Linked DNA regions of Notamacropus eugenii. The protein of the gene in region 1 interacts with the protein of each later gene in a biochemical or structural test. Links are inferred from orthologs where the notes say so. Each region holds a gene or a part of one and is shown in the gene's direction. Other genes may lie near its edges.

Region 1 (7,014 bases):
GAGATAATTGAAGGGAGGTGTGAGGGGTGAAGGGAGTAGAATGTTAGTGCTTGGTGCATAGTAGAGTTGGTATTTTGAACCGGCTTTGCTTCCAAGTCTAACACTCTAAACGCTACACCACAGGATTCTATTAACCTTTGGGCCAGATGGAGGAAGGAAAAGATGGCAGCTTCTTTGCCCCTTTTGTGGGGTGGAAGTCTGCTCATGCTCCCTTTCCTCTCCATGTGCTCATTTGCACTTTATATCCCAAAGACTGGCATTTGTCAGTTTCATCCATCAGCCTCTCCAGTTGCTTCTTCCATCAATGACCTGATCTTCCTTTCCTCTTGTTGGCTTCCATTCCTCCTCAAACTTAAGACTCACAGGGGATGAGCAGGTTGCTTAAAGTCCTACAGGTAGTAAGTAGCAAAGTCATAATTAGAACTTGTGTTCTCTGATTCCAAATCCAGTAGTACTTCTCCTGGCTTGAGGAGAATGTATGTATACAGGTTTGGAGGTAAGTCTTTCCCTCTCCCTTTCAATTCATTCATAGGGGATTCCCAGGAGCTGGTTCCAGATATAAGAGGGAATACATGGACCCTGAGGAGGAGAGCTGGAGATACCAGGGTTGCATGGAGACCTGCTGAAAATCCTGCACATCTAGGTGTCCCCTACAGACAGCCATGGGCCTTGAGGAGCCAGTATGTGACTGAGACCCTGAGACCCTGATGGAGTCACATGGGGAGAGTGAGTCCTGTAGGGTATTGCATCCCTCAGACCCTGAAGGGATGAACCCTGGATGAAAGCAGTGTGGCGGAGAACCAGGGTAGAAAGAGTAGCATAGGCAAGAAAATGTGCACTTGGGGAACAATCCAGATCTATTCCAATCATCTGAACTATATAAATTTGGGGGTAGGTGGGAAGAAAGATTCCCTAGCATCCTCAAATTCTTTCCCCCGAGAGAGATGTTTGCTTATTTATGAGGGCAGGTATTAGCTCTTTCTGTATTTTTGATGTAAAAATAAAATCTTTTCAGTATTTGATGTTGTTAGCCTAAGTGCTTTCAGAGGAGCTAAGGGCCTTTGGGGGAAATCAAAATGAGCCAGAGACTGACATTTTCAGGATTTCTTTGAAGGGGATATAAGCCAGAGAAATTACATTTGGAAAACCCCTAGAAATAGTACCCATATCCTTTTATCAGGGAAACTGCCTTGACCCTAAGATTACATATGTCTTATCCTAACTAGGGGATAAATGGCTGCTTCAAGATCATTTTAGGAGAAAGCCAGGATGATCCCACAAAGAGGCTCCATCCTTCCCTTTTTCCTTACCCTCAGCAACATGGCCTCTTCCCTTAAAGTCAAGCCAAGTAGACTCTAATCAGGGACTTCCCAAAGTAACTTGGTGTGCCATGAGCAGAAGCAATCATGGTCCCAGATGCTTGTCGGAGACCAACCAGCACAGAGATATTGCAAGGGGAGCTAGCTGAAAGAACTAAAAGTCCCTATTCTCCCCTCATCTCATCAACAAGAAGGAGGGGGAGGAGATGAAGGAGAAGGAAGAGGAGGATGAAAAGGAGAATTCTAGAATGTCATACCTGACAGGGATTTTAGAACACAGATTGTCAAAGCTAGAAGGAACTTTAGAACACAGACTTTCAGAGCTGGAAGAGATCCTAGAACATAGACTGTCAGAGCTAGAAACAACTTTGGAACACAGAATGTCAAAGCTGGAAGGGACCTTAGAATACAGAATAATAATTTGGAAGCAACCATAGAAGATAATAAAAGCTGATATGTATATAGTGTTTGGCAGACATTATCAGACCTGATCCTCAGATGAGGAAACGACTTACCCACGGTTGCCCAGTATCTGAGACAAGATTTGGATGCAGGGCTTCCAAAGTCCAGAACTCTATCCATTATGCCCTAATGATTCTAGAATTAGAGGGGCTCTTAGAATTGAACGTCAACCCTGAGGAATGGACTTCAGAATATGGTATATCCAAGTTTACAGGGAACTCTGAACCTAGACAATGGAACATAAAATCTTCATGAAGGGAGAGACCTTAGAACATAACATATCAGAACTAAAGGGACCCTTGGAACATAGAATGTTAGAATATAGAAGGCCAAAGCTAGAAGGGACTTTAGAACCTAGAACCAGAGCTGGAAGAGATTTTAGAAGAGAAATATGTCAGACTCAGAGGACACTTAGAATACAGATCGTTAGAACACAGAATGTCAGAATCGAAAGTGCTGTCATTTTGTTGCCAGGCTAAGACCAGAATCCTCACTGTCCCCTCCTCAAATGAATCTTCTAAGTCACAAAGAGAAATCACAGTTTCCTGTAGCTTAAAAAAAAAATACATCTGAGGCCATCACTGTGAGAAGACAACACATTGTTTCTGGGAGGGGAGGAGGCTCCTGGGAAGATGACTAAGAGCTAACTTTTCTCTCTGGCTTTTGGAACTGAGTGTGATAGGATATAATGAGCAGTGAGGATACTGGACAGGGAATCCAGGGATCTGGATTCTAGTCCCACCCCTTTTCTTGCCTTGTTGTATGACCTTGATCAAATTGTTTCAACTCTCTTCAGTTTCATCTGTAAGATGTTGGGTTAGCTCATTTCAAAGGTCTCTTCCTGCCCTTGTCAGGGTCCAGATTTTAAGATCCCTTTAATTCAGCTAGACATTTGTAAATGGTATTCTATGTGCAATATACAGGGTCAGAGGATGGCTTAGCATTACCACTCTCCTTTCTGACCTTCTATGTGTGTGCTAGGGTTCTAATTCCTGCTCTCACATTCCAGAAGGGAGTAGGTTTAGAGTCAAAGGGGGCTCGACCCTCTTCATTTTACGAATGAGGAAATGAAAACCAAAGAGGTCAAATGACTTGTCCAAAGTAGAGTTGTAATTGGACTTCAGGTCTTTGACTCCAAAACCAGTACCTGACAGGGACTTTAAAGGGACTCTGTCCACTTTAACTTTCAATTAAGGTACCTTCCAGGTCAAGTATTCTTTGTGCTCATTAATGACCCTGTCTTTGGTACTCTTTTATGTTCTAAAGTTCTTTCCTGCTGGAAAGTTCCATGTTCTAATAATGTCCCCTATAGCTTGGACATTCTTTGTTCTAAGATCCCATCCAATTCTAACAGGCTATGTTTTAATGGTGGGATGTTTTAAGACTTGGAATAAGTACCCACTCTCTCTCATCCTCCACCTCACCCAGTCTTGAGGAAAGATGCAGGTCTTGCCAATTTTTTACCAGGGGAGTAGGGGAAGGATTGTCCCCCAGGAGAGATTATATACCAGGACTAGTAGGGAGGGTGGGGGCAGGGGTGAACCCTGAATCCCTACTGCTCCTCTACCACAGAGGCCACAGACTTCTCTGAACAGGACAACTTGTGGACCCCTCTCCGAGGAAAGGAGTCACTTCAGGGACAGGATGGGTGAAAGGAGGGATGACACCCAAGATCCCAGTCTCAGACTCTTATCTGGGTTCCCCAACCTCACTCTTGGCCTGAGAGCTTTTTGATGGGGGGCCCTTGGACAAAAGCGTCCACATCTGGAACAGAAGCTCCCCAGATATGCTGAAGGGGGGAGGGGAGAGAATGGCCCCAGAGGCGGGGCAGTGCAAGGGTTAATGGGGCTGTGGTGGTGAAGGAGGAGAGCGATCTGGGGACCCCCAAAGGAGCAGGGGCCAGGGCCGAGAGGGACCGGGAACGTGCATGGGAGTGGGAGGGGAAGATCACTCCGGGAATGCGGCGCCCGGGTGGGGATGGGGGGAAGCGGCGGAGGGGGAGGGGCGAGGGCGTGGCCCAAGCTCCCCGCGGCCGCAGGTAGCCAATGGAGCGGCGGGTCCGGCGGCGGCGGCGGCGCCCCGCCCCCTGGGGCAGCGCGGACGGAGGGAGTAAGAAGTGCAGGAGCGGTGCGTGGGGTACTGGGCTCGGGGCGCGGGGCGCGGGAGCCGGAACCGGAGCCGCGCCAGCCCGGAGGGCCGCCGGCACGATGCCGCTCGCCCAGCTCGGGGAGCCCTGGCCGCTCACCGAGCTGCTTCCACTGGATCCCGAGGTGAGCGGGGCTGGGTGTCCCGGACTCTTGTGTCCCGGGGCTGCGGCGGGCGGGACCTCCCGGGATCCGGCCTGGGCTGGGCAGGCTACAATGGGAGCCCCCAGCCAGGGGCAGACAAAGACGGCGCTGCAGCTGGGGCAGGGGGAGGAACAGCTGGATCTCCCCCTGACCCCTCCCCCCGACCCCCCACTCAAGCAGCATCGCTCTTCCCTCCGCACCTCACGAGCCACCCGGAGCTGCCCTCTCCCGGAGAAACCCAGAGCTAAGGGGAGAAATCTGCCCTTAAGACACGCCCCTCCATCCCGTGCGGCTCCCCCGGCCAGAGAGTCCAGGGGAGAGTCCGTCTGGGCGGCTCCCTGGGGCCAGGTGAGGGAAGAGAGGAGAAGGGGTGCCCAGAGCTGGAGTTTGAGCCTTCTATGTGTGTTGGGGAGGGGAGGGCTGTGAGAGAGCTGATCGAGTCCTGGGAGACCTGCCCCACCCCTCATACTCACACACTTTGGGGGAGGGGGGCGTCGCTCCAGCAGGAGCTCTCCTGAACTCCCCCAGTACCACCAGGTAGGAGTAGGAATGCCCGGATGCCAGAGTGCTGGCATGAGCTATGGAACCGTCGATCCAGTAGTTTTACTCTTCTGGCTTTAGCCTGTTCCCAAACAGGTCTCTATTCTACTCGTTCCCGGCTGCAGCTGGCCGCCCAAGGGCTTGTTCTCCCCATCCTGGGGAGGCGCCTGATCTCTGCCATATCAGGCTACTCCTCTTGGCAAGGCTGCTCCAATTAAGTCCCCCCTGAACCAGGGGATGTCCTTATGGGTCCCAGGAACATTGCCAGTGCCTGTTTCCGGCCAGTGGTTCCTATGATCCTCCCTGCAGGGGCCAGATTTAGAGACCTGTCACCTCAGGGAGGAGGGCACCTTGTTTCTAAGTTTTACCTCCAACTTACTCTATCTTCCAGAGTAGGGGAGATGAAGTCCTTGGGCCCCTTTAAGGTGACTTTTGAGAGCTCAATTTGGACACGATCTGTGCTTCTCTAGGGCTGGGGTAAGTGAGGGCTGAGGAGAAGAACACCCAGGGCTAGTAAAACATAAGATCTTAGGTCCAGAACTAGGAATATAGCCTTTCTACTACCACCACCACCCTTACCTGAGGGCACAGTATTGGCTTCTACCCCTCCCTCCTGTTTCTGGAAAAAAGGCAGGCTTTCCTGGGGTATCTCTCCTTCCCCTCTTCCCAACTTAAGAGGCAGCTTTTGTCCCAGTCCTTCTGCTAGAGGTTAGCCCAACTTGGAGAGGACTTGGGCACCAAAGCCTTAGTCCCCAGGTACTGTTGCCTAGCTGGGCTCAGGCTAAGAACTGGATCACCACCAAGCTTGATGCTCTGGGGAAGCTGGGTGAACAGGCCCTGGGCCCTAATTCCCAAAAGAGCGGAGCAGGAAGAGATATCCTCCTGGCTGCTGCCCTGGCACGTAGGGCCCAGGGGCCCAGATCACCTGCCTATCCCTGCATGTACTTCAGTGGGCACCTTAGCAGGTATGATCCCTAGTTCTTCGAGTTCAGGTCTAGGCCTGAGGGAAGTGCTGAGTGCCCCCCCCCAGGTCATCCAGAGGGGTCCCTTGGCCCCCAGTGTGGCTGGCTGCTGCTGGGCCTTTAAAGGGGGTGGCAAGAGATTTGGGGGTGGGCCTTGTAGGGGGATTAGGTAACAGCCCTGAAGGAGCAATTTGAAGTAAATTGTCCTGGGATTCTTGCCATGAAGTTTTACAGGCCCAGTATCACCGTCCCGCTGACTCACCGGCTCCTGAGGAGAGGTGAGGAGCTGGGGCTGGCCTTGTTTCTGCTCCTTTCTCTCACCATGCTGGGGGGAGGGGAACAGGTCCCAGGGAGCAGAGGTGCCAGGGTGGGGCACGCCAGGCCAAGGGAGATGGATAAGGTTCCTGCCTCGGATTGATCTTTGTACTTCTCCTAAGGGACCCAGGAGTCCTGACATATATAAAGGGAAGCCCTTTACATTCACTTTCAGGGACAGGGGAAGGACAAGGACTGGCTAAGAGGGGGAGATGGCACAGTGTCTAGCCTTGAGGTTGTGCTGGCAGGGAAGGGCTCCTGGTCTCAGCACAGGGCTCAAGCTTTCCACCCCCATCCCCCACTCTAACTTCTTTAAGGAATCTTGCTCAGAGATCAAGCTCTTGCCAGAAACTCCACGTTAAGGTCCCAACTTGGGGATGGCTTGCTTTGAAAGGGGAGTAACATGGGCAAAATGGTGGCAGAGTTAGCCATCCCTTTGGGTGCAGGGACTCTCTCCCTGCATCCCCATACATTGAGTGGTGGTAGGGAAAAGGCGGAGTGGAGAATTCATGTAGAATTGGTGGGGGGAGCTAGGAGATAGCCCTACAGTGAGTTAGGAGACTTGGGTCCTAATGCCAACTCTGCCAATAACTAGATTATCTCGCTATTGAGGGGTGATGAATATAACAAAGGACCTTCATTCAAATCCTGCTTCCTCATCTATAAAATGAGGGCATTGGACTAGGTGACTTCCAGGGCCTCTTGCTGATCTCAGTCTGTGATTCCACTACCAAGTCATTTTTCTGGGCTTTGCTTTCCCCCTGTATAGAATCAAGGGCTTGAGCCCTGCCAGTTTTATTATCAACAGTTTTATAACTTGGGTTCTCTTTCTCACTTTCTCTTTAATGCACAAGGTAATCTTCAGCCAGTCACTCTGCTTCTGTTTCTGTTTCTTTTGAGAGGGTTGGGGTCTTATCAGCCAAGGCCAGGACCCCTCTTCTCACCTTCTCTCAGGAGCATTAGGGATGGCCATCCCAGTCAGATATGGGGCCGGCCTTGGGACAAAGGCACCCATCCTGGCCCTCCTTCCCCTACCTCCCGAAGTGGGCTCACTGACTCCATAGAAGGTGCCAGACGACTGAGTGCATGTTATTGTTTGGGTAACAGGAGCTGTGGGGCGGGCGGGTG
Region 2 (7,600 bases), on another chromosome or scaffold:
TATGATGTGGCTTCCTGTCCTGTCCTCTCAAATCCCCCCACTCACCACCTTCTGGTTTTACTCCAACTTGTTAATGTCCTTCCTAAAACACAGCATCTAGAACTAAATATTAAATTCCAGATGTTGACTGACTTAGGGTAGAACATAGCAGGGCCTCCCTGGTTCTAGATGCTATGTTTCCTACTCTTCTATCTTAGGATCAGATTTGATTTAGGCCTCCATATTTCCCCTGGTAACTAGGACTGAGTTAACTAAAGCCTTCAGATCTTTTCATACAAACTGTTTCTGGCCATGTTTCTCTTCATTCTATCCTCATGAAGCTGACTCTTTGAACCCAACTGTGGGACATAACAATTTCCTCTATCAAATGTCATCCTAGATTTAGTCCCTCTTTCCAGCCTATTGGGAACTTTTTGGATCCTCATTTTGTTACTCAGTATGTTAGCTGCACCTCCCTGATTCAACTTATCCACAAATTTGGTAAGCCTTGTGTAAATCACTAATAAAAACATGATGGCAACCACCCTCCCCACCATCTAGTCACCCCCATCCACAGCCCTCACCTCAAAGAATCGAGACACAGGCCCCACCAGCTCTTTCAGAAACTGCATCTGCTCCTCCTTCAGCACTATAAGGATCAGGAGATCAGTTAGATTGGATATCACCCTAAGAAAGCTGACCTTCTTCCTCTACCTGCCACCTATCAGAGGAATACAGTCTACCTGAAGGGAATGGAAACACCTGCTCTGTCGTAAGTTGTCCTTTAAACATCCCGACAGCAAATGACTTGGACTCCTAGGACAGGAAGAGAGGGGATATGTCAGGAAGTTGAATGGAAGGGGAAATATTCCCCCATTAGTAGCCCCACTCCCCCTCCATCACTCAACTCAGGTGGTACCTACCACCACACTGGGGCTACCTTTGTCCTCTGCTGAGGCTATTGAGGAACCTGAACCTGTTTTGTCCAATACCACCTATGGAGAAGGGAAGGATGAAGAAAACACTGGGAGCTGTAGGGAACAAGGAAGCTATGGCCTCTCAGGGTCCTTCTGACTCTCTTTCTGTGTCCCTGTGCAGGGAGAACTACAAGATGAGAGGGTTCCAGGGGCAGGGAGGGGAGTTTCTAAGAAGGGATAGGTGGGGCAATGTACGTTCTGTAACCTTTAACCTAATTTCTTCCCCGTGACCTTTCCCCCAATTTCAGGGCCACATAGAGAAGCAGGTGACTTGGAAGAACAGTTTGATGTCAACAGGCAGCCAGGGGGAGTCCCCAACCTCACCCCAGCCCAGCCTGGCCAAGCAGGCTCTCCAACCTTACCTCTGTGGCCCTGTCGGTGTAGTGACGAGCAGCCTTCATGCCCAAAAGTGAACAGCTCTGGGGGCTGGGCAAGGGTGCAGGGCGATTAGCTTTGGCACCCCTTCACACTACCCCCCCCCCAAATTCCCAACTGTCACTCTGTCCCATGCTAACTCCACACTGCCCTCCCCCGCAGTGCCTCAGAACCAGGGGTTCCTGCCCCACCTTCCTCAGACCCCTTCTCTCTCATCACTCACCTGGCCCTCCCCTGCCTCAGCATCTGGAGCCCCACTCTGTGGACCATCCCCACAGCCTGCATCTTGATGTTCTGCCTGGCCTGTGCCTCTCAAAGAACTCCTCTCTTGACTTTGACCTTCCACTTCTCCTCCCTCTCCCGATACATAGATTTGCCCAGCTCCTGCCCTGCCCTACCCCTGACTCATCACCCAGAATACAACTGGGGAAGGGAGGTGGGGTTTATTGCACCCAAGGCATGCTGGGATGTGTGGTTCTTAGATCCTCTCCCCATTCCCCCTGGGCTCTTCTTGCCTTAATAGTGGATTCAAGTGTACCCCTTGGTCCCCTTCTCTCAGCTTTCCATTAAGGCCTCGATCTATGTCTTGCAAGGTCAGGAGATGATGAGATGGGGCTGGAGAGAAGGAAAAAAAGCTAAATTTAGAGGGATATAGTTTAGACCTGAGAGAGGATATTCTAGTTGGTTGGAGATAAAAAGAGAAAATCTAGGCTGAGAGTTTTCTTGTCTGAGAGGCTTGGTCAGATGTGTTTTATATTCAGTCTTGTGTCTTGAAGCCACCCCATTCACAGACAGACAGACAGACAGACAGACACACTCACACACACACATAGTGGGAATTAGTAGAATTATAAGTATGTATGTGTACAGGCTCCAAATACCTCCTTCTCACATACCACCCCCTTCAGACATAAGAAGTCCCTATGACTTTTAGAATTGCCATCTAAAACTCTTTGGGTTAAAAGGAAGGCAAGAGGTCATTTCAGCATGGCTACCACAAAAGCTCTGCACATATCTATCATCTTAGGGATTTCTAGGGTCTTCTTAGTCCAACTGTGGAGATCATCTTTTCTACAGAGACAGACCAATCATGGGAACTGGAGATGGAAATGAGAAGACAGTATTAGGAAGTTCCCATAAGCAACATCTTCTCCTCACCGCGCAACCCATTTTCTTCCAGCCCTAAATGAATGTCTTTCCTGAATCTAATCTGAATCTCTTTTGCTGTATCTCCACATGAGTCAGGTCTAAGGGGCAAAGTGATCCTCATTCCTTGTTCTTTCTGTTGCAGCCTCCTCCAGAGAGGACCTACCTTTTACCTTCTCTTCTTTTCCCCACTAAGGGGGACATCCATAATGTCATAAATATACCTGGTGGGGGCTCAGTAGACTGAGAGAGCACTTCTAACAAGGGAGCTGGGATGCCTAAGGATCTGGGAAAGAGAAATTACATTACTTAACAATCTGGGCGGGTGGAGAAGGGGGCTTAACTCAAATCCTGATGGATTAGGGAGATTAAAATGACAGAGAGAGATGCCAAGGGAACCAGGAGGTTAGAGACAGGGGTTCTGGAGGGGAGGTTTTGGAGTTCTAAGGGTCTGTAGAAGCTTGGAACATGGGATTCCTCTATCGATGACTGGGGTGAGAGGGACAGAGGGGTAGAGAAGGATTGGGAAGAGATGTGCATGTATTTCTCTAGGTGTCTTTCTCGGTGTTTCCACCCCAATAATCCTGTCTTCATCTCTCCAGTCCCTAGATCGGCCCTTTGGCTTCTGGCTCCCCCACTCTTGCAGTGGGCACCTCATCTCCTTGCAGTGCTGCACAGTGACCTCTTCCAGGCTCTGCTGGGTAAGTAGAAGAGGGACTGAAACTACTGGATCCCTGGGAGGGTTGATTAGGGGGAAGGGGTGATAGCGGTGGTGCTATTCAGAATAGTATCTAAGGAAAGCCAGGGCACGTAGAACTAGATGACTGGGCAACTCCCACTTGTTCCTCATAGATATCCTGGATTATTATGAAGCTGCTGTCTGTGATCATCTGGTAAGGGCCTTGGGGCAAGGGTCTCAATACCTTTATCCTTAAGGGAAATCTGTTTGTGAGGGAAGTTGGGTGTGGCAACAGAAGGAAAAGAAATATTGGAATGAAACTGGAGCAAGAAACTTCAGTTCTAGGGTAGGAGTGCAAAGCCCTGCGTCCTGAAGCCAGAGATGCCATTGGCTGAATATCTGGGTTCCATCCTACAATATTTTCCTCTTACATTCCTCCCTTAGTCTTTCTGCTTGTCACATTTCTGGCCCTACAGAGTCCTGGTTATAGCCACATTTCCTCCCTGCCTCCTCAAAACCACCCCAAAGGGAAGCCAAGGCCATCAGTTCCCCCAGTGCAGGCAGCCAGGGACTCAGAATCCTGCTCCTAATCCCTCTTTATCTCCCTCTCCTCCTCCCCCCTTTTGCCTCAAGAATATTTCAGGGTCCCCTCCCACTCACAGGTGCTCCCCACCATACCATTGCCCCTGCCAAGAAATCCAGTCAGTTACTTTATTTTTCTTTCCTCTGCCTTCATCCTTTTCTCTCAACATCTCTATGCCTTTCTTCTTGCGTCTCCGTGACTCTGACTGTGCCTGTTTTTCTGGCTGTGACCTGTGTATGTTTCTCTCTTTGTCCTCATCCGTATGTGTGTGTCTGTGACTCTGCCTTCATCTCCTCCTTCATCTCCATCCTCATCCCCGTGTATCCGGGCTCCCCCAAGCACTGAAGGAGTTAACCTCCCTTGCTTCCCCCCCCATCCCTTGCTCCCTCCCTCCCTTCCTCCCCCCTCTTCCTCTCTCCTCTCTCGCCTTCCCTTCTCAGCTCCTTGCTCCCTTGGCCGTGGCTGCCGCCTCCAACCCCCCCTTCCCATTCCCCCTTTCCCAGCTGCCAAGAGAGACCCTCCCTAGCCTCTCTCTCAAGACCCCCCCCATCCCAGCTTCTCCCACCCCTTCTTCCCCTCCCCCTCCCACCCCAGCTCATGTCTCAGCCTCCGGCCCCTGGGGCTTCAAGCCCCTTGCGCCCCCACCCTTCCTGAGATTGGGGTGGGTACCCCCCAAGCTCTCTGCCTTCTATTCGGGGGACCACCTTTTGGGGCCCCTCTTCCCCTCCCTCCCACGCTTCCCCTCTCTTTCTCTTCTCCCTCTCCCTTCCTCCCCTCCTCACCCCTCCCCCCACCCGCCCCCCCAAAAAAAGTGGGGTACGGAGGGGGGAGGGGGGAGAGTTGGCTGAAGGGGGAATGAGATCCTAATGAAGTCAGAGCCCCCCACACGCCACAGCGTCCAGCCCCCCAAACATGGACTGTCTCTGTATCGTGACAACCAAGGTAAGCAGGATATTGGGGGGGTGTGGAGAAAGGGGTGTCAAAAGGCTGATATCTAAGGGGAACAGAGTTTGTAGAGAGGTACCAGGTAGGCCTTATCTGGAGCCTAGGGTCCATTAGGGAAAGATCAGTAGAAGTAGGGTGCTTAGGATTTGTCTCCCCGGATTGGGGAAACACAGGCATATAGATAATGCAGGGAAGACTGGAGGCAGCCATGGGGCACCCTGGAGTGATTCCCCAAGTGTCTATATGGAGCACAAATGTGGGGGGGGTTCTGTGGCTTGGGGGGAGCCTGGCAGTTTGGAATTTGCGGGGGACATGGGGGATGCTTATCTTGGGGGAAGCCTGGCTCATACTGGAAGAGAAGTTCATGTTTTAGGGGTGGAGGGGTCTTCAGGGTGGGAGAAGGCAGGCTTGATTTTAGGGACTCTAGGTCAATTTTGGGGGAGAATGAGAGGCCTCGAGAGATACTCTTGGGTTTGGGGGAATTGCTTAAAGCTCATTGGAAGAATATTACCACAATTTGAGGCCATACTTATTTTGGGGGATCACTCAGTATGAGGGTGACTGGGAGTAGTAAAGGTTCAGTGGGTCAAGGCCTGAGACTGGGAACCATTTTAAAGAACCAATCTAGAGGAGGTTAAGATTTGGGGTGCTATCTCACTGGGTCCCCAACTCTAGGACAAGGAGAAATCTAAGAATCTGAGATGGGCTTACAGGAATTGGCTGATTTGGGGCATCATGCGGGTGATGAATTTGGGAGACCCTCAAGCAGGTGTTCTCACTCCTCCTTTGCCTTTGCCCATTCACTTTGCTCTAGCTCTCACTCCTGTCCCCAGCAGGAGAGAGAGGGGAGAGAAAAGCAGATGGAAAGACAAACTCCAGACCTGCTCAACCAGGCTCTTAAGGGGGAGGGATGTGAAGGACACCCTGGATTTGGAGGGTGACCCCCCCCCCCCCCAGACCAAGGAAAGGATCTAGGCCTTAAGGAGTTGAATGGGGCTTGGGATGGAGGCAAACTGAAGGTAGGCAGAATGAGGGGGAGTAGTAGAATAGAAGGGGACTGGGGGCGGTGGGGGAAACTGGGGGAGTCAGAGAGAAAGCTGAATGTGGAGGGGCCAGTCTGTGAAAGGCAGAATGGCCTGGGTGGTGGTGGTGGGGGAAGGACACCTGGCTTCCTCATGGGAGAATCTGAGATTTGGGGGTTAGATGCCTCTGTAGAGGGTTAGGCAGGTAGCTGGCTGGGAGGGTGGGGAATAGGAGGGACAGGAAGTGTTGGCTGGGGGAAGCAGGGTCTGGGTGAGTCATAGGATGGGGAAGGGGTTATATTTAGTGGGAGCTACAGCATCTAGGGGGAAGGCTACTCACATATCCCACCATATGCACATGGATGTTCATGTGCACATGCTGGCATAGAGTTGGGCCTCAGGAAGATACAGGATATGGGAAGGACTTCATGGAAACCAAGCCTGGATGCCTCTTAGTCTTAGCATCTGCTATCCCACCTCACACCTTTACCTTTCCCCCCACATATTTTTTGGGGGCCTTTCTCTGGGGATCTTATCCTGGATTCATTGTTTTCCTGTTTCTGCCACTTTTTTTTTCTGTTTGTCTTTGTGTCTCAGGGCCATGTTTTATGTCCTTGATGTCCCCCCCACCTCCCCTCATCTTGTTCTCATGTTTCTCCTGCCATATTCTCCCTTCTGTGTCTCTCAGTCTTCCCCCTTTCCCCCCTCTGCCCTTTCCCAGGGCCAGCACTTTGGGGACACAGGAGGGAAAGGCCTGAGCAAACAAGGGACACTTGAGGACATGCTTCCTTCTCTCCCCCTCCCCTTCCCCTCTTTCCCTCCCCCTATGCCTCCCTTGGTGATGTTTCCTATAGATACAGGCAAAAGGAAAGATCTATATTGAGGTGTTGGGTACAAACCCTTTCTGAGAGCATGGGAAAATAGGCATGAGAGAAGAAAGAGGAGGAAACCTGGGCTTGTAAGATGTTCACTAAGTCCAGGGAAACAGCCTCCCTTTATTCTGATCTAGAACTGAGCCAACAGCCAAGAACGTTGGTGCCATAGGGTCCCTACAGAGAGGAGGAAGGGAGATTGGACACATAGGTGGCTCAGGGGAAAACAGGAGATTTCTTTGCCTCGAAAACTTTTCAGCGCTGGTGAAGGTGGGACTCCAACTCCCATGAGTCCCTGGGGTAGAAGGCCCCTAAGTACACTAGAACTGTCGCCCTGGGCCCTGTCGGGAGTCGTAGTCCCGGCCAGTCCACGGGCTCCGGGGTAGAACAGGGGAGGCCGGCAGGGGACGCTGTGTCCCAGCACTCTTCGGCTTGTGCTGAGTACACTGGCTCCTCGCCCTGTGGAGGCCTTTACCTCTGGTTCTCTCCCATAGTCTATTTACCCTGACGCCGGTTTCCATCTCTTGTTTCTATCTCCTAGTCTGTCTGTCTGTCTGTCTGTCTGTCTTGTCTGTCTCTCCCGCCCCCGCCCCCAACCCACTTGCCTCCCCCTTCCACCTCCTAGTTCCACCTCCTATTTCCCTGCGCTGGCGCCGTTGCCATGGTAACCGGCGACGACTAGAGCGGCTTGGCAGGCTGGCGGGCGGGGCCCACGGAGGTTGGGGGCGCGAGCACGGGGGCGGGGCCGTGGGGGAGGGGGCGGTTGACTTTGGCCAGAGACCCGGACGCGAAGCAGTTAAACCCTCCGGGCGGCCCTAATTGGGCAACTCGGGCACGCCGGGGGCGGAGTCGGACCGGCCACCAGCCCTTGCTTATTGGCCGAGATGGGCGGGGCGGGGTTGGAACGGGGGATGGTGGGGGTGAGGCCGTGGGAGCGAATGGGGATGGAGGCGTGGCCTCATGGAGGGTGGTGGGCGGGGCACTGGAGGCCGAGTTAGCCGCCTAAGGGGCGGGGTTGGCCC
Region 3 (7,950 bases), on another chromosome or scaffold:
TTCTTGACTTTGGATTTCATGTTAGTATCAAGCTCTGTGCTCTTATGGAAGGAATGCCTAGGCTTATCTTCTGACTACTTTCTTGGAATTTTTGAGTGTTGTGTGTTATTCCAGGATTTCAGGGACAGCCAAAGCTAGGGCCCTGTAAGCTTTCAGTGTTCCCAAAGTGATCTGCTCCAGGACAAAGTCTGAATATGGACCCTTGTTCTGAGCTTTGCCAAGTTCCTGACCTGGGTTTGATTCTGAACATCACTCTTGTGGGCTTGTCCCACTTGAAGTTCCAGTAGACTGCTACTGGACTCAGCTACTATCAATTGGAAAGCTCAGCTGGATCAATGACAGAACAAAAGGAGTCCTTTTGGTCTAAAATTCCTGCCTTGTTAATTCGTCTGAAGGCTTTAGCGTGGCCTAGAAACTGGAACTGACACCCTACTCCACTTCTAGGGTCTATGTCCCATAACTACTGCTTGCTTCTTGCTTGATGCACAGTGTGGAAAAGGTTTTGTTATATTGTTTGAAAAACTTATTAACTAGAAAGTATTTGAAATCAGCAACTAATGTGTTGCCTTGACCTCAGTAACTCTCCAGGAATGTCAAGGAAGAGCTATAAGGGACTTTGTGTTTTTCCAGGTCCTGTTTTGGGTCTTCACACCTAGATCTTGTTTGGGGTCCATCCAGGCTTGTGTTTTGGTTTTGTCTAAATTTTATTGAACATTTACATTTACTCATATCCATTTCAACCTACCTTGCTTTTAAGCTGCTCTCTCAGTAAAATTGCTTAATTGCCTATGTGGGGTTTGTATGTGGGTACCCTAATCTAAACCCTATATAATGTAAGCCTTCTAGTGCCTGGGGAGAGGGAACCACACCTCCTTTCTGACTTGCTCTCCTCTACCAAGTAACATAATAAATTTCTTTTTAATGCTCATTTATATTTTGGATTTGCTTTTTCAAATAACAACAGCTTGGGGCTCTTGACCCCTCCTCACCCTGGAATGCCAAACCTGGTTGAAAGTAACCTCTTAAATCCTCCTTGGATCTGTGACCTGGAACTAGGTAGTACATGATAGTTGTCAGTTGGCACCTGTTCTTGTGCCCAATATAGGATTAGGGTCCTCTGTACTAGATCTGCCATCTCTTGCAGTATTGTATGGCCTCTCCCTGAGACAGAATGCTTTGTGTGGTATGCTATTATCGGCCAGACCCAACAACCCTGGGAAATAGATACTATTATCAGCCCCATTTTACAGGTGGGGAAAGTGAGGCAGACACAGGTCAACTGACATGCCCAGGGTTAGATGGTAAACATCTGTGTCCACAAACCTCTCTTTATTTCTCCTTTTGTTGACCTGGTGATTCACGGTGATTTTTTTTTTTAATTTCTGGATCAAGATTTGGTCTGGTGCATTTTCTAGAACTATTGCTTCCAGGATCAAATATAAAAATCTTCTGTTTTGACTTTTAAAGCCCTCTATAACCTGGCCCCATTCTACATTTCTAGTCTTCTTGCTTCTTTCTCTTCCCTTTCCCTCACATGTAGTGTGAGTGTAGGAGTACAGGGTGACTAGTACCTTTGGTGTGAGGGCTTGCTGAGTCCTTTTCAGGGCTGCTCATCCACCTTCGGTTCTACCTGCCACCCATCTCTCACCTATGACTCCAAGAAGCTGTGGCATGCACATCAGCCACATCCTGGTGAAACCATCTTGGCAGATGGGTTAAATTAAACCAGGTTGAGGGTAACTGATGTGCCTCAAATCTGTCAGTGGGTTAGAGGGGTATCTACCTCAAGCATGTGAAGACTTCCCTGGTGGAATAGGTGGATGTGAAAATATTTGTTCCAGTGCCCATGGACGCAGTGGAAGCAGGTGCTTGTAGAGACTTAAGAGCTTGGTTAGACAATGAAGAAGCAAGGGTCATCCACTTCATCCCAAGTCATCCCCAATTATCTTGATTTTGCCTTGCCACTGGACTCTGATGACTCTGGAAGAGAGCAGCCAACAACTTTGGTGCAACTTTGTGTCACTTAAATTCAGTTCACACATGTGCTAAAAGACATCACCCATACCATTTCATCATTTTTACCTACCTCAAAATTCTGTGGCAATGGGCAAGTGATGAAGCAGTAGGTGCAGATACTCTGGGAGTTGTAGTCATAACCCTGCATGCAGGTGGCTCAGGCCATAGGCTCATCTTCCCACAATGGACTGAGGCAACTGTGGAATCATCAGCCCCCCTGGGCCGATGTACTTCTCACCTCTTGGCATGAGGAAAGGGTTAGAAAAGGTCCCTTAAAAATTGTTGGCTTCACCTCACTTATGGGGATCCTACTCTGCGGCCAAAAACGTCTTCATTCTGAATGTTCGTACAATTTATGTCAAACCTGTGGTAGACCTTCTGAGCTCCTCTTGATCTGATCAGCCACAGTTGGACGTTATACATTGACCCTGACATAATAATGTCACATTGGTCCTCTTTGACTAGGAAGGACAATGACCAACCCAACAACCCCATGTATTCTGCAACCCAATGTCACTGGCCTTCTTGCTATTTATTCCTTCCTCTAGATCCTCTATCTCCTGACTCTGGGTATTAATGTCTCCAATGCCTGGAACTTGCTCCCTCCTTATTTCTGCCTCCTAATTTCCCTGGCCTACTTCAGGTCTCAGTTAAAATCTCACTTCTGAAAGAATCCTTTCTTGTGTCCTTCATTCCCCATCTCCTAGAGTCTTCCCTCTTTTGATTATTTCTGCTTTATCTTGTCTTTATCTTGTTTGTGCAGAGTTGTCTTCTACCTTTTGTATCTCCTGTGTCTAGCATAGTGCTTGGTACAGAGCAGGCGCTTAATCAGTGCTTGTTGTTGTTGTGTTTATCCTTTGTTTTTGAAGAAGACCAGGACCTCAGAGAAATGATGGCATGACTTGCATTTGCCTTTGTTTTGAATGAGGGAGGGCTGTGTAAGGTCACCAGCCTCACTTTCTCCTCCTCCAATGCTTGTTGACTGATTGGATGAGTGATGGGGTGTGTGTTCGTGCCTGCTATTTCTTCCTGCTACTCCACCATCTTGGTTCTGTCTTGTGCACATCAGATTTGAGTCTGACACTAAGCCAAGAGGTGGTGGTTGATACACAGGGTGAGAGAGAACAGTCAAGATCCAAAAGGATCTTGGCAGGCCAAAGCATGGGGCTGAGTCTTATAATATGCAACCCCATAGGGATAAATGTCATGTATTACAGCACAAAAATATGAACTTCACAAGTTAATATGGGGTGTGTGTGTGAATAGATAGCAATTCTGAAAGAGATTTGGGGATTTTAGTGGACTTCAAGCTCAATGTGAGTCAGGAGCGGGGATGGAACATCCACAATAGCTAATAGGATCCTGGGCTGCATTCAGAAGTGCAAAAGTTCCAGGAATAGGGAGGGCATGGTCCTACATTTGTGGGATGCCACATTTTTTAAGAACATTGACAAGTCTGACAATTCAGAGGAGGGCAACAGGATGGTACAGTCCACATCCCCCAAGGATCACTTGAAGATTTGGCACACTTAGGTGGGAGAAGAGAAGACTTGGGTGCCCTCACCCAATACATGACCTCATAGTTGTCTTCAAGCATGGGAAGTGATGGTGTGTGCAACAGGGACTAGATGTTCCGTTTGGCTCCAGAGAGCAGAACCCAGAGCACTGTGGGATAGTCAGTTTAGGCTCAAGGTCAGGAAAAATTTCCTAAACATTACATAGAGCTTTTGGGGAAGTGGCAGACTCCCCTCCGTGGAGGGCTTTGAGCAGACAGCCACTCACTGAGGTGAGTGGGTGGGAGGGCCTTTGTACACGGCCCCCTCCAGTTCTGACCTTCTGTGATTCTGAGGTCTTCCCACGACCCCCAGAGCGCCTCATTCTGTCATATTCCCCCTGCCACGGGTAGTTACTTTGTTTCAAGGTCTTTGCTACCCACAGGGTAGCAATGTGGCATCTGTGTGACTCACTTCCCTTCCGTAACTTAGTGCGGGAGGGCACCTGGGAGATAGAGCATGACATCCTGCCACAAGCTCTAAAGAGCCAGCCTGGCAGTGCCAAGCTGGGCCTCAGGACAGGCTGGTGACCCCACCACCTCCGCCCTTCCTCCCTCCTTCCTTGGATTTTCCCTTTCATGCCTTCTTTGCTCACATCTCCCCCTTAGTCTGGGGGCTCAGGCTTTCCTTCAGAGGGCCCCCCAGGGGGATCATCTCTGTTCTGTCCCTTCCAGGCCATGGGCAGGCCCCTTCCCCTCTCTGGATCTCACATCGGGGGTGGCTTTAAGCATCTTTCCAGCTCAGAGCGGCCAGTCCTGGAACACCCAGACACACACTTCAGGGGGTCGCGCTGACCCTCCCCTCCTAAGCCTTCCGTGCTTCCGTGTTCACGAACGGCCCCATCCCACCCAGTCAGAGGGAAAAATCAGGGAGGGCTTTCGGGGGTCAGCCACGGCCTACCCAAGGGGCCCTGTTCGGCTCGAGCCCAAGTGAACCAGGGCCAGGTAAGGTGGGGGGTGGGGGCGCCAGGTGCACGCTCCCCAGGTAGATACTCGGTACTCACGAGCCCAGCGCGTGGCCAAGGGAGGAAGCCAGTAGAGTGAAAGGCGTGCTAGCCGGCAATGCGCATGCGCAGGACGGGCGGGGCCTTACGGGAGTGGGTGGAATCTTAGCTTGAGTAAGCGTGTCCCGGGGGCGAGGCCCCGAGTGCCGGGGGCGGAGCTGGGCCCGTGCGCGTGCGCCAGCCACGGCGGAGCTGGGGCATAATAAGGCGGGGCCTGAGGGGCAGGGCGGGGTCTGCGCTGGCGCGCGTGCTCGGGGCGGGGCGACTCGGGGCGGGGCCTTTGGGGCTGGGTGGGGGTTTGCACCCTGCGCCTGCGTATGAGAGGTCCTTGGGCGGGTACGGGGAGGGGCCTGCGGATCTGGGGGCGGAGCTCCCGGGCCCGGCGCCGGTTGGGAGGGAGGCAGGCAGCCGAGAAAGCGCCGCGGTTGGAGAGCCTGCGGGAGGCGGTGCTCGCGCCCGCGTCCGTGCCCGCGCCCCGTCCCGGGGGCTGCAGGTCCGCGGGACCGGGAGGAGAAGAAGAAGAAGGAGGAGGAGGACGAGGAGGAGGAGGAGGAGGGAGAGGAGCCAGGCGCCCCGAGCGCCTCCGCCCGCCCGCCCGTGGGCCGGCCCGCACCCCGGCGCGGCCATGGTGGGGGGGCCCGTGGGCCCGGGGCTGTTTCTGCCTCCGCCGCTGCGGGCCGGGCTCGGGGCCGGGCTCGGGGCCGGGGTCGGGGGGCCGCTTGCCCAGCAGCCGACTCTGCTGCCATGAAGCGCCTTCGTGCCCGGGACAAGCCCGCGGCCCCCGGGCCGGCCCGCGCCGAGGGGGGGACCCCCAGGGCGCCCGGGGGCAAGGCCCCCCCTGAACCGCGAGCCGCCGGCTCGGACCCCGTAGCCCCCGCGCCTCAGGAGCAGGTAGGACTGAGGCCCGGCCGGGTCAGGCCAGGAGGCGGGGTGGGGGTTGGGGGAGCAGAGTCAGGGACTGGGGGAGGCAGGGGGAGAGGGCCTGCGGTGCCGGGGAGAAGGGGGGGAGGGGCTGGGGCAGTCAGGGACAGGGGGCAGGGGCTGGAGGGTGCAGGGGAGAGGGCATGAGGTTGGGGGGCAAGGGATTGGGGAGACAGGGAGAATGGAGCAGGGAAGGGTGACGGATGGGTGACTCTAGAGGGGAAGGGGGGCTGGGGCCTAGGGGATGAGGAAATAAATGCAGCTTGGTGCCCTCCTGGCGGCGGGAATGACATTGATAAGCTGGGCTGCGCTGGGGGTGGGTGCTGGAGCCCAGATGATGGGGGAGCAAGTTTGGTGTTGGGCGTGAATGAGCCCAGGTGAGTTTGGAGAGAGCTGTGGAGCTTTGGAGAGACCTGCTTCACACTGAGTTGGGTGGGACACAGGGGCTCTGAATAAATTTTCCTTTCTTCGAGGCAGACCCCAAACCAACTGCCAGGCCTCCCCACATTGCCCCTTTGGGTTCTCCTCTCAGGTCAGTAGTTGCTATGGAAGAGCTTCCAAGCTCCACAGCCCTCTGCAGCAGCATTGACCCCAAATGGTGCAGTGCCCATTATAAAGGCCATTCTCAAGGAGACCTGCACAGGCCCCTTTCTTACCTTCAGAAAGCTTATAGTCTATGAGCATGACACATACCATACAATACACATATTACCCTCACTTATAAATGAACCATAAAGTGTTGAGGTCTGGTATCCATGGGACTCTGGGGCATTAAGGCTGACAGGGGAGTTTGAATTCTGTGAGGTGGTAGAAAGAGGAAAGAAGGATATCTTAGAGGTGGAAGGGACTGCAGCCACCCCTGCCAGAATCATCCAACTGGTTTTCCTGGACAACAGACTGAATATTTCTGCTGCCTCGCTAGGCTACTTCCCATGGTTGGCCAGCTCAGCCACATTGTTAAGAGATGGTCCCTTCTGAGCTGAGCTTTCCTTCTCTGAGGACTGCCCATTGCTCCTAGTTAGTCAGTATTTATTAAGGGCCTGCTATGTGCTAGGTACCCTGCTAAGAGATAGGGAGATAAAAATAAGGCCTTCCCCCTGCTCCTTTTCCCCCAGGGCAATTCTCCAGGTATGTGAGATCTCTGGATGCCCTTCTTTGATGCCATTATCATTCAGTACCCTCCTCAGTTATGGCACCTCAGCAAGGTAGAGATTAGCAGGAGCCCCTTGGCTTTCTCCTTCTGAATGTTAGGGTTCTATTCATCTTTGAGAAGTGGCCAAGCCCTTTCCCCTGTTAGTGGTTTAGGATCTGTGGAGCTGGAAGGAACCTTTAGAGACCATCAAGTCCCAGCTTCATTTTACCGATTAAGAAACTGAACCCCAGAGAGGTCACATCAGTATCTGGGATTTGAGCCCAGGGTCTCTGACTCCACTGATAGCATTTTCTTCCCTGGTTTTCTCCCAGTTGTGACAAGGAAAAGACTTTGCAAATCTCCCTTTTTTGGTCCTGTGGCTTCATCTAAAAGTAAGGAGCTCCTGGGGAGGGCTTATCTTTAACTTTCCCTCTCAGTAGACCTTCAGAGCTCCTGGAGCCCATCTATGGTAATGGCTGGCCTTAGCTAAAGTGCTACTTCAGTGTCAATGATGATTACTTATGGGAATGGGCAGAATCTTGACACATCTTGTAATCATGACTATCCTTGGCTCAGAGGTGATATGTCCTTTCCTACAACCCAGCCCTGGACTGTTATCACCATATAGAATGGAAGCTGCTTGAAGGGCAGCTCTTGGGTCTCTGTAGTGCTTTGAAGTCCTGTGATACTTGACTCTGGGTTCAGTATCTTTCTTGGTAACTCACTATTGTGCTTCTGTCAGAGCAGGAAGAGACCTCAAAGGTCATTTAGTCCAACCTTCTGGAGCCCAGGGAGGGAGAGGAAGGGTCTTGGCCAGAGTCATGAAGATGACCAAGGTGCCCATTCCAAAGCCAGTGGCTGCTCCCTGGTCCTGCATCTCTTTTGCTGACAAAGTAGTTTGGATGTTAGAGTGGGGGTGGACTGGGACTAAGGGTTCTTGGGAAAAGATGGAAGGAGGGGAGGTTAAGGTCTGGCCTGAGTCACACTTCTTGTGGAGGTTAAGGTCAGGCTTTCAGCAGCTCCCATGGATGGTGGAGGCCGTGTTGATGGCATTCAATACTGGTCCTGGCTGTTTCTCTGACCAGATCTTCTCAGGGTTTCTCAGCTCCAGGCTTTTCCCCTGATTGTCCCCCGGATCTGCAATGCTGTCTCTTACCTCTGCTTCCTGACTTCCACGATTGTGTTCAAGTCTCAGCTAACATCCTATCTTCTAAGGAAGCCTCTTAATACTAGTTCCTCTCCTTTCTTAATTAATTAAGAAGCCTGTATATGGCTTTTTTGTACATAATTGTTTAAATGTTGTCTCCCCTGTTAGATTGCGAGCT
Region 4 (7,451 bases), on another chromosome or scaffold:
CCATGATAATGAATACAAAAGTTAAATGCTGCTTTTTAATAATCACAAACTATAAACTCTGAAATCTTTCCAAAATTACTAATTTGGGGTCATATAAGATCACTCAGTGATTAACATAATTACTTAATTCATTAATGTGTTACTTAATATGTTCTGTAATCTCAATGATATCACCATCTCCCTTAGGAACCTAATCCAATTTTCACAGAGGGTAATACAGAGAATTTTGGATATTTTCCATTATTTATTCTGGGGTCTGAGACGCTCTGGGAATATGTGTTGCAAGGGAGTAGTTAAGCAGGAACTTGAGAGACTTTGTGGAAATGAAGGAAGCAGGAGGTGATTGTAAAGGGGAGAAGAGAAGAACTGATAAAGTTGGAACAGTATAGTGGTAAAATATATACACATATATACACATATATACACATACACACATATACATATGGAACAAAGGGTATAAAATTATGGAGGCTTTCCCTTTGTTGTTTCTCCTAGCTCTTCTCTATCTGCATTTTACTTATTATTGTTCAATTTACTTATAATTATGATTATTATCTACTTCTTACTGAACATCACATCCTCTGATCACTTCAGTGAGTGGTCACTTTCCCCTTCTCTAGACTCATGGCCTGTCTGACTCAGTACACACTTAACATATTTTCTACACTTAACATATTGCTTGCATAGTTACATAGCATTTAGCTTTTCATCTTGATGTCTTTTCTCCCCTAACTAGTTTATGTGTAAGAAATTTTTGTACTTGTTATTTTAGACATCAGCCTGCCACAAACAATTTTAATTAATTTAGATTATTCTAATCTAAGCATTTCTTTTGAACAAGAGACAAGACCAAAGACAGGCTGATTCCTGCTAACAGTCTTTCTCTGACAAGCTATTTTTGAGTTAAAATTCATAATATTCCTGAACAAAGAAAATTTTTCAATATGATCAAGTGCAGTTACAGACCTCAAAGTAAAAGATCACTTGACATTTTCATTTTACCTCATTAAGCAGAACAATCATCAATCCAATTCAATCCAATAAACATTTAAGAAGCACCTACTATGTGTCAGGCATTGTGCCAAACGCTGAGGATATAATTAATAAAAAGACAGACGGTTCCTGCTCTTAAGGAGCTTATGATATTATAGGAGTAGACTACACACAAAGGTGGAGGCTGGGGCACCAGGAGTGAAGGCACCTTTTTCCATTTTGTTTGATGCAGTTAAACCAGGCAAAGTGGAGTGAGCCACTTAACTTTCTATACACTTTTGGAGGATCATTTTCTTAAAATCACTCATCCTATTTGACCACCCACTTTTAGGCGGTAGTTTTCGATTTTTGTTTCAGGACCCTTTTATTCTCTTAAAATTATTCAAAACTTCCCCACAAGACCTTTTGTTTAGATGACTTAATCTGTGGATATTTAATCTTTCTCCCTAACCTGAACCCTGCTTTTGGCTCCTAGGTTCCAGATCCCTCACAATTCCAAGGACTCTTGTTCATTTCCATGTTCTTATTTCAAATCTTTTTTGTAAAGAAAGCTCTTCCCTCCCATGGAAAGGATGAACAGAAGAAGAAAAAGAAACTGAAGTGTCTTACTAATATTATGAAAATAATTTGGATCTCATGAACCCTCTGAAAGTGTCCTTCAGACCACACTTTGAGAACCATGAACCATTACTTTCAGGATTCTTTTTTTCCAGCTGTTTAAAGATGATTTCAAGATATACCTCTGTTAATAGAAGTAATCAAAGCCTTCTTCCTTCTCTTGGTCTGATAATTCCTCTGATCATCTTGTAGAAGAGTCCTTCCTAGGCTCATAAGGAAAAAGGGGCCTGGAGTGAGTAATTAGATGGTTCAGCCTTTGATAAGAGTGATTGAGAAAGATTTTAGTGCTGGACAGTATTTCAGAATTGGTAGTTAAAATAAGGGTTCTCTTTCAAATTAGTCCAAAGGCTTTAGACTAGAATAATTGTAAAATACTTTCTTATTATGTGTAAAAGGCAGTGTGTATACATATACATGCATATATGTGCATATATACACATATGTATATATATATACACATATATGTGTGTATGTGTGTGTATGTGTAGTTTAATCTATTTTCACAATTAAAAACACCTTCAAGAATGGCTAGACTTGATACTAAGTCACTTGGAAGCTAAGATGCCATCCAACTCTGTAACCCATGATATGAGACTATGTTAGGAACTCTTTGTATCCCCTATAGATCTTACACAGTGGTAGTCCCACAGCAGGTCTTCAATAAATAATGGAAAAAAAAAAAGAATGCAAAATCAAGTTAGGTGATTAAGGCTTCTCCAAAATAATGAAATTTCAAAAGTCAAGCTGAAAAGGTTTCAGAGCTATTATCTAATCACTTGTACATCTGTCTTAGACTGTTCACTCAATGCAAATAGTTTATGGGTATATCTGACAGTAGGAGCAAATCATTTTACAGAGAAATATTTTCTGTTCCTAAGTTTTTTGCTGATTAGGTATTTTTCAGTTATCCAGTTTTCAATGGTGAAGAATATATGCTTTGGGAATCATTCTTCTAAAAGTCTTTTTTTTAAATTAGTTTCCCAAGTTAGATGTCAGTGGAATACACTGGGTTCAGAAGACCATGTTTTAGTAGGGAACTGGACTTGGAATCAGGAAGGCTTAAGTTCAAATTCAATTTTAGATAATGACTAGCTGCTGGACCCTTGTGCAAGTCATTCACCTGCTCTCTGACTCTAGCACTAATTAGTCACTAGGACTAATCTGCTAAATCATAGAGATACCAATCTGTAATTTCCCTGGAGAACAGTTCCTTCTACTAAGGAATTCATGGTTTCTTCCCTTTCTATGTGTATGGCACATCTTGATTCTGCCCTAACTAGCAGTGTGACCTTGAACAAAGCTTTTGGGTTAAAATCAAGGGTAACCGCTGTTGTTATCTTTTCAAATTATCTCCCCTCTATGCTGCAGTTTTCTTACTTGTAAAGTGAAGAAATTAAGACTAGAGCAGGAGTAAAATAACCATGGATAGATTTGCAGAGAGGTTTGTGAACTTGGGTGGGAAAACAATTACAACTTTATTTTCATTAACTTTTGATTTCCTTGGCAATCCTCTGTATTCTATTTTGTGGATTTAAGCACTTTATTCCAGAAGAGATCCATAGGCTTCACCAGACTACTATTGGTCCATGTTAACCAAAAAAGGGTACAAATCCTTGACTAGATGACTTCTAAGGTCCTTATTAAATTAAAAAAAAAAAATCCTGTGATTCTATGTCAGTGTTACTCCTATTATGGTGGGACTGTGAGTATGGTCTCTTAATAGGACCTCAATACAGGTATGGTCCTTGATGTCTGGGCTATTTATTTGAGTAAGGCCAGAAGCACCTGTTCCATGTGAACTCCTTTCAAAGGGGCGTGTGTGTGTGTGTGTGTGTGTGTGTGTGTGAGAGAGAGAGAGAGAGAGAGAGAGAGAGAGACAGAGAGAGACAGAGAGAGACAGAGAGACAGAGAGAGACACAGAGACACAGAGAGAGAGAGAGAGAGAGAGAGAGAGAGAGAGAGAGAGAGAGAGAGAGAGAGAGAGAGAGAGAGAGAGAGAGAGAGAGAGATGCAGCTTTGCCCTCTTGCTCCCATTCCCCTAAGTGTACTGAAGAGATCCGGTTTCAGTTCCCAGGGGTGGAAGCCTGGGCTCCCGTTACCAGTCCCCTGGGCTGCTGCGTGTCCGCGTCCCTCGGGGTGTAGGCAGCTCTCGGGCTCGGGTTACCAGCCCCGCACCTCCAAGCCCGCGCCGCGGTGCAGCGGGGCGAGGCCCGCGAAGGAGCCGGGGGAAGCGCCGCGGCCCCTTTAAGAGCCGGGGTAAGGCCTGGCCCCCGGGGCTGCGGGGAGCGGGGAGTGCGCGGAGCGCGGCGGCGGCAGCGGAGCGGGAGGAGGAGGAGGAGGAGGAGGAGGAGGGACGACTTCGGGACCTGGGCCACAAAAGTTTTCCCGCCCCCTCCTAACTCCGGGGCACGACCCCCTCGGGCATCGGCGCGGCCCCCGCGGCCAGGGGGGCCTGCTCGGGGCCGGGAGTTTCGGTTTCACGGGGCCGGGACATGAGGAGGAGGAGCCGGCGGCGGCGGCTCGGCGTCCCCGAGCGGCTCGGCCTGCGCTTCACCTGAGCGCCGGCCGGAGCGGAGCCGGGCGCCCCGGAGCGCAGCGCCGTGCCAGCCCGGGGGCAGCCCCTTCGCGCGGCCACCTCCCCTGCCCCGGGGTGCCGCGCTCCTCGGCCCCACGTGCCCAAGCCCCCCGCGGGACGCGAGGAGGGCGGGGAGCCCCGCGCACCCCCAGGTGGGCGTGCCACCAGGGACGGGGCGGACACACCTGTTCCAGCGCCGCCCCGCTCCCGATCCCCTTGACCTCCGGCGTTAGCCCGGGCCCCCGGAGTCCGGGCAACCCCGCTCCCCTCCCGCCCGCCCTGCACTGTTGTTCCGGTTGCCGGGCTGTCCTGCGCTGGTGACCGCTGGGCGAGGATGAAAGTGACCGTCTGTTTCGGGAGGATGGGGATCGTGGTTCCGTGCAAGGACGGGCAGCTCCGTGTCCGAGACCTCACGCAGCAGGCTCTCCAGCGCTACCTCAAAGCCAAGGAGAAGGTAAAGCCGGCCTTTGGAGGGGGCACCACTCCGGGGGGCTGTGGAGCAGGAACAGGGAAGGGGTCCCTCCTCCTGACTCCTCACGCTGCCTTTGTGCCTGGGAAACCCCGGAACACACCTGACACCTGTCTAATGCCCTGGGTGGAGTCCAGGTAACCCCCTGAAACCGAGATCCAAATGCTGGGAACTCCCAGGCCTGTCAGGGCATAGGTCACGCAAGCAGAGTTATTGGCCATACTCAGCTTTTGTGATCTGCATTTCATTTCACTTTTTTGGAGATTTTTGGGTTTTGTGGTTTAGGAGTGTTATGGGGATATAGACTAAAAAGATCCGGGATTGACCATAATACTTTTTCAGGCTCTTTTTCTCTTCTTCTCCGAGGAAATTATTGGTATCAAGAGTTCATTTGGTCTAGGTAATAAATGTTTTTGTAAGTAGTGTTTCAACCTCTCATTAGCTTGGTTTTCAGTGACTTCCAGAAACTCTGGTAGGAGAATGAAGTAGTTACTTCTACTGTCCCATTCACTTTTTTTTTTTTTGAGAAAACGGTTCCAGAAATTAGCGACAAGTTAGAACTAGTGTTCTGTTTCCATACCATGTCAAGGTGTGTTAAACTGTGTTTGGAATTCAAAAAGGTAAGTTGAAAAATAAAACTTACCATGAAATAAACCTCTTCCTAAAACTGAGGCAACTAGGTGGCTCAGTGGGACCAGTAGTAGGGATAGATCTGAGTTCAAATCCTGTCTTAAACATATGCTACCTATGTAACTGGAGGCAAGTCTTCTGTTTGCCTTATCCATTGGAGAAGGAAATGGCAAATCCCTTCAGTATCTTTGCCAGGAAAACTCTGTCCACAGGGTCAGGCAGAGTCAAACAGGACTGAACAATAATTACCAGGTTTTCTTTTTTTTTTTCTTTTTTGCTTAGGGTACCTTTAAATTAATTATTTAAATATTTTATTAATGACCAACAAGATTTTGTGATGCTAGGAGTTAGTTTTCCAAGGTCTCTTAGAGTTCATTTTCTCCCACTTCTCCCTTTCCCTGCCACCATCTTTTTAAAACCAGATGAGTAAACTGAGGCTAAAAGAATTTAAGTTAATTACCCACAGGTCATACAGCTGAGCTGGGATTTGAACCTGGGTTCTGTCATACCAAATGAAAGACTCTTCCCACTGCATAAATCTTCTAACAAGACAGAATACATGTCTGATGTTCAGTCCAGTTCAGCATTTATTAAACACACTATGTTGCCAGGCATTGAAGCTACAAAAATTAAAAAAGAAAGAAGGAAAAAAAGAAATGGTTCCCACTTTCAAGGAGATGAAGTTCTCTCAAGGAGGAAAATGCAACATAGACAGTATATAGATGGACATAACACAAGTAAAGTAAGCATAGGGGAGATGAAAGGGCTCAAGGAAAATTTGAGGAAAGTGAGAACACTCAGGTGGGGTCAGGGAAACAGCCTTCATGATGGAGAGGACTCCTGAGCTGAGCTTTTTTGAAAGAAGACAAGGATTTTAAAGGAAGAAAATGTGAAGTCTGGAGATGAAGGAAAGTTTCTGTGAATTCAGTGGAGATGGCAAGTCTAGTTCAGAGAACAGCTAGACATCTACTTTGGCTGGAGTAGAGGGTGCCAAGCAGCAGGAATAAGGGTGGAATCAAGTTGTGGAGGCCCATTCTGGGTTAATGAATGCTATATTTCATCCTGTAGGAAATAGGGAACCCACTGAAGAAACTTCTTTAGCTGGGGAGGGTAACAAGTTTTGCTTGTATTTTAGGAAGATTGTTTTGGGCATCTTTGTGAAAGATGGATTAGAAAATGAAGGAATAAGAACAGGTGAAAATAGATGAGGACCTCAGTGAGAGTGATGACAATGAGAGCGAAATGAAAGGGACTAAAGTGAAGATGGGTCCATTTTTATATGCGTTCACCTCTACAGAGATTCTAGAACTAGAATATCTGACAATCCAGTCCCTGGAAGATATGGTTTCTAATTTCTTTAAATGTCCCCATAGCCATTTGGAATAGAAATGAAAGAACTTTATATTTTAAAGACCAGAGGTAAAGTGTATGACATATCTCTAAGAGATACCCATATATAACTTCATTCTCTGTCCACTAAAAGTAAATTCTCATACTGAATGGTATAGAAACAAAGTATTACTTTCATGAATATGTTCCACGTTGAGGATACATTTCATGTGTTTGAAATAAAGTCATACTTTGAAGAATAGCTGTCATGAACATTAGACATTGGGTAGATGATTACCACTCCCAGCAGGGGCAACACCCCCTCTCCCCAAAAAGAAAGATGTGTGAAGCACTCTGCTAGCTGTTAGGCCAAATGGATTAATTAGAACATGCTCTCCTTTCATATTGCTTATATTCCATTTGGGGATATGAAACATATACAAATACTTATGTGCGTGGCGGGGGGTGGTTCACCTGGGGCATGGGAACTTCTTTAAAAAGTATTTTGATAACTGCATTTCAGTATAATTGGTTTCTTTTGTAATCTTATGTTTCTCAATTTGTGCATTTTAATAGGTTTCACCAGACCTATGACCCTAAAATGGTTAAGAACCCAGTTAGGCATTGGATATTCAAAGAAGGCTTCATAGAGTTATGGCATATGAATTGAGTAACAAAGGCATTTTAGGGGTAGATAATGACATGAACATCTAATGTAATTTACCAAAATTTAGCTCTTTACTGACTAGTGGATAAAATCTTGCCTTTGTATAGTTCTTTGCCCTTTTCAAAGTTCTTTGATTTATCTTTTTTGATACACCTTAAAATGGAGCTGAA

Evidence for each region.
Region 2: the proteins of RPS6KA1 (region 1) and DLG4 interact in a test that uses a peptide from one of them, tested with the Homo sapiens proteins (2 studies listed by BioGRID and IntAct). The link is inferred for Notamacropus eugenii from reciprocal best matches to the Homo sapiens genes RPS6KA1 and DLG4.
Region 3: the proteins of RPS6KA1 (region 1) and MAST2 interact in a test that uses a peptide from one of them, tested with the Homo sapiens proteins (2 studies listed by BioGRID and IntAct, with this or other methods). The link is inferred for Notamacropus eugenii from reciprocal best matches to the Homo sapiens genes RPS6KA1 and MAST2.
Region 4: the proteins of RPS6KA1 (region 1) and PARD3B interact in a test that uses a peptide from one of them, tested with the Homo sapiens proteins (2 studies listed by BioGRID and IntAct, with this or other methods). The link is inferred for Notamacropus eugenii from reciprocal best matches to the Homo sapiens genes RPS6KA1 and PARD3B.

What each region holds. Positions count from the first base shown.
Region 1 is NC_092876.1:67,582,689-67,589,702, forward strand, and holds the start of RPS6KA1 (ribosomal protein S6 kinase alpha-1), read left to right. Parts: upstream 1-3,888; 5' UTR 3,889-3,988; coding exon 3,989-4,051; intron 4,052-7,014. UniProt on the Homo sapiens protein: Serine/threonine-protein kinase that acts downstream of ERK (MAPK1/ERK2 and MAPK3/ERK1) signaling and mediates mitogenic and stress-induced activation of the transcription factors CREB1, ETV1/ER81 and NR4A1/NUR77, regulates translation through RPS6 and EIF4B phosphorylation, and mediates cellular proliferation, survival, and differentiation by modulating mTOR signaling and repressing pro-apoptotic function of BAD and DAPK1.
Region 2 is NC_092873.1:78,849,547-78,857,146, forward strand, and holds the start of DLG4 (disks large homolog 4), read left to right. Parts: upstream 1-4,528; 5' UTR 4,529-4,651; coding exon 4,652-4,681; intron 4,682-7,600. Other genes in the region: ACADVL (very long-chain specific acyl-CoA dehydrogenase, mitochondrial), read right to left, coding at 564-628, 723-795, 903-974, 1,319-1,382, 1,555-1,616. UniProt on the Homo sapiens protein: Postsynaptic scaffolding protein that plays a critical role in synaptogenesis and synaptic plasticity by providing a platform for the postsynaptic clustering of crucial synaptic proteins.
Region 3 is NC_092873.1:506,910,424-506,918,373, forward strand, and holds the start of MAST2 (microtubule-associated serine/threonine-protein kinase 2), read left to right. Parts: upstream 1-4,917; 5' UTR 4,918-5,316; coding exon 5,317-5,463; intron 5,464-7,950. UniProt on the Homo sapiens protein: Appears to link the dystrophin/utrophin network with microtubule filaments via the syntrophins. Phosphorylation of DMD or UTRN may modulate their affinities for associated proteins. Functions in a multi-protein complex in spermatid maturation.
Region 4 is NC_092877.1:301,094,007-301,101,457, forward strand, and holds the start of PARD3B (partitioning defective 3 homolog B), read left to right. Parts: upstream 1-4,373; 5' UTR 4,374-4,520; coding exon 4,521-4,640; intron 4,641-4,646; exon of another isoform or gene 4,647-4,792; intron 4,793-7,451. UniProt on the Homo sapiens protein: Putative adapter protein involved in asymmetrical cell division and cell polarization processes. May play a role in the formation of epithelial tight junctions.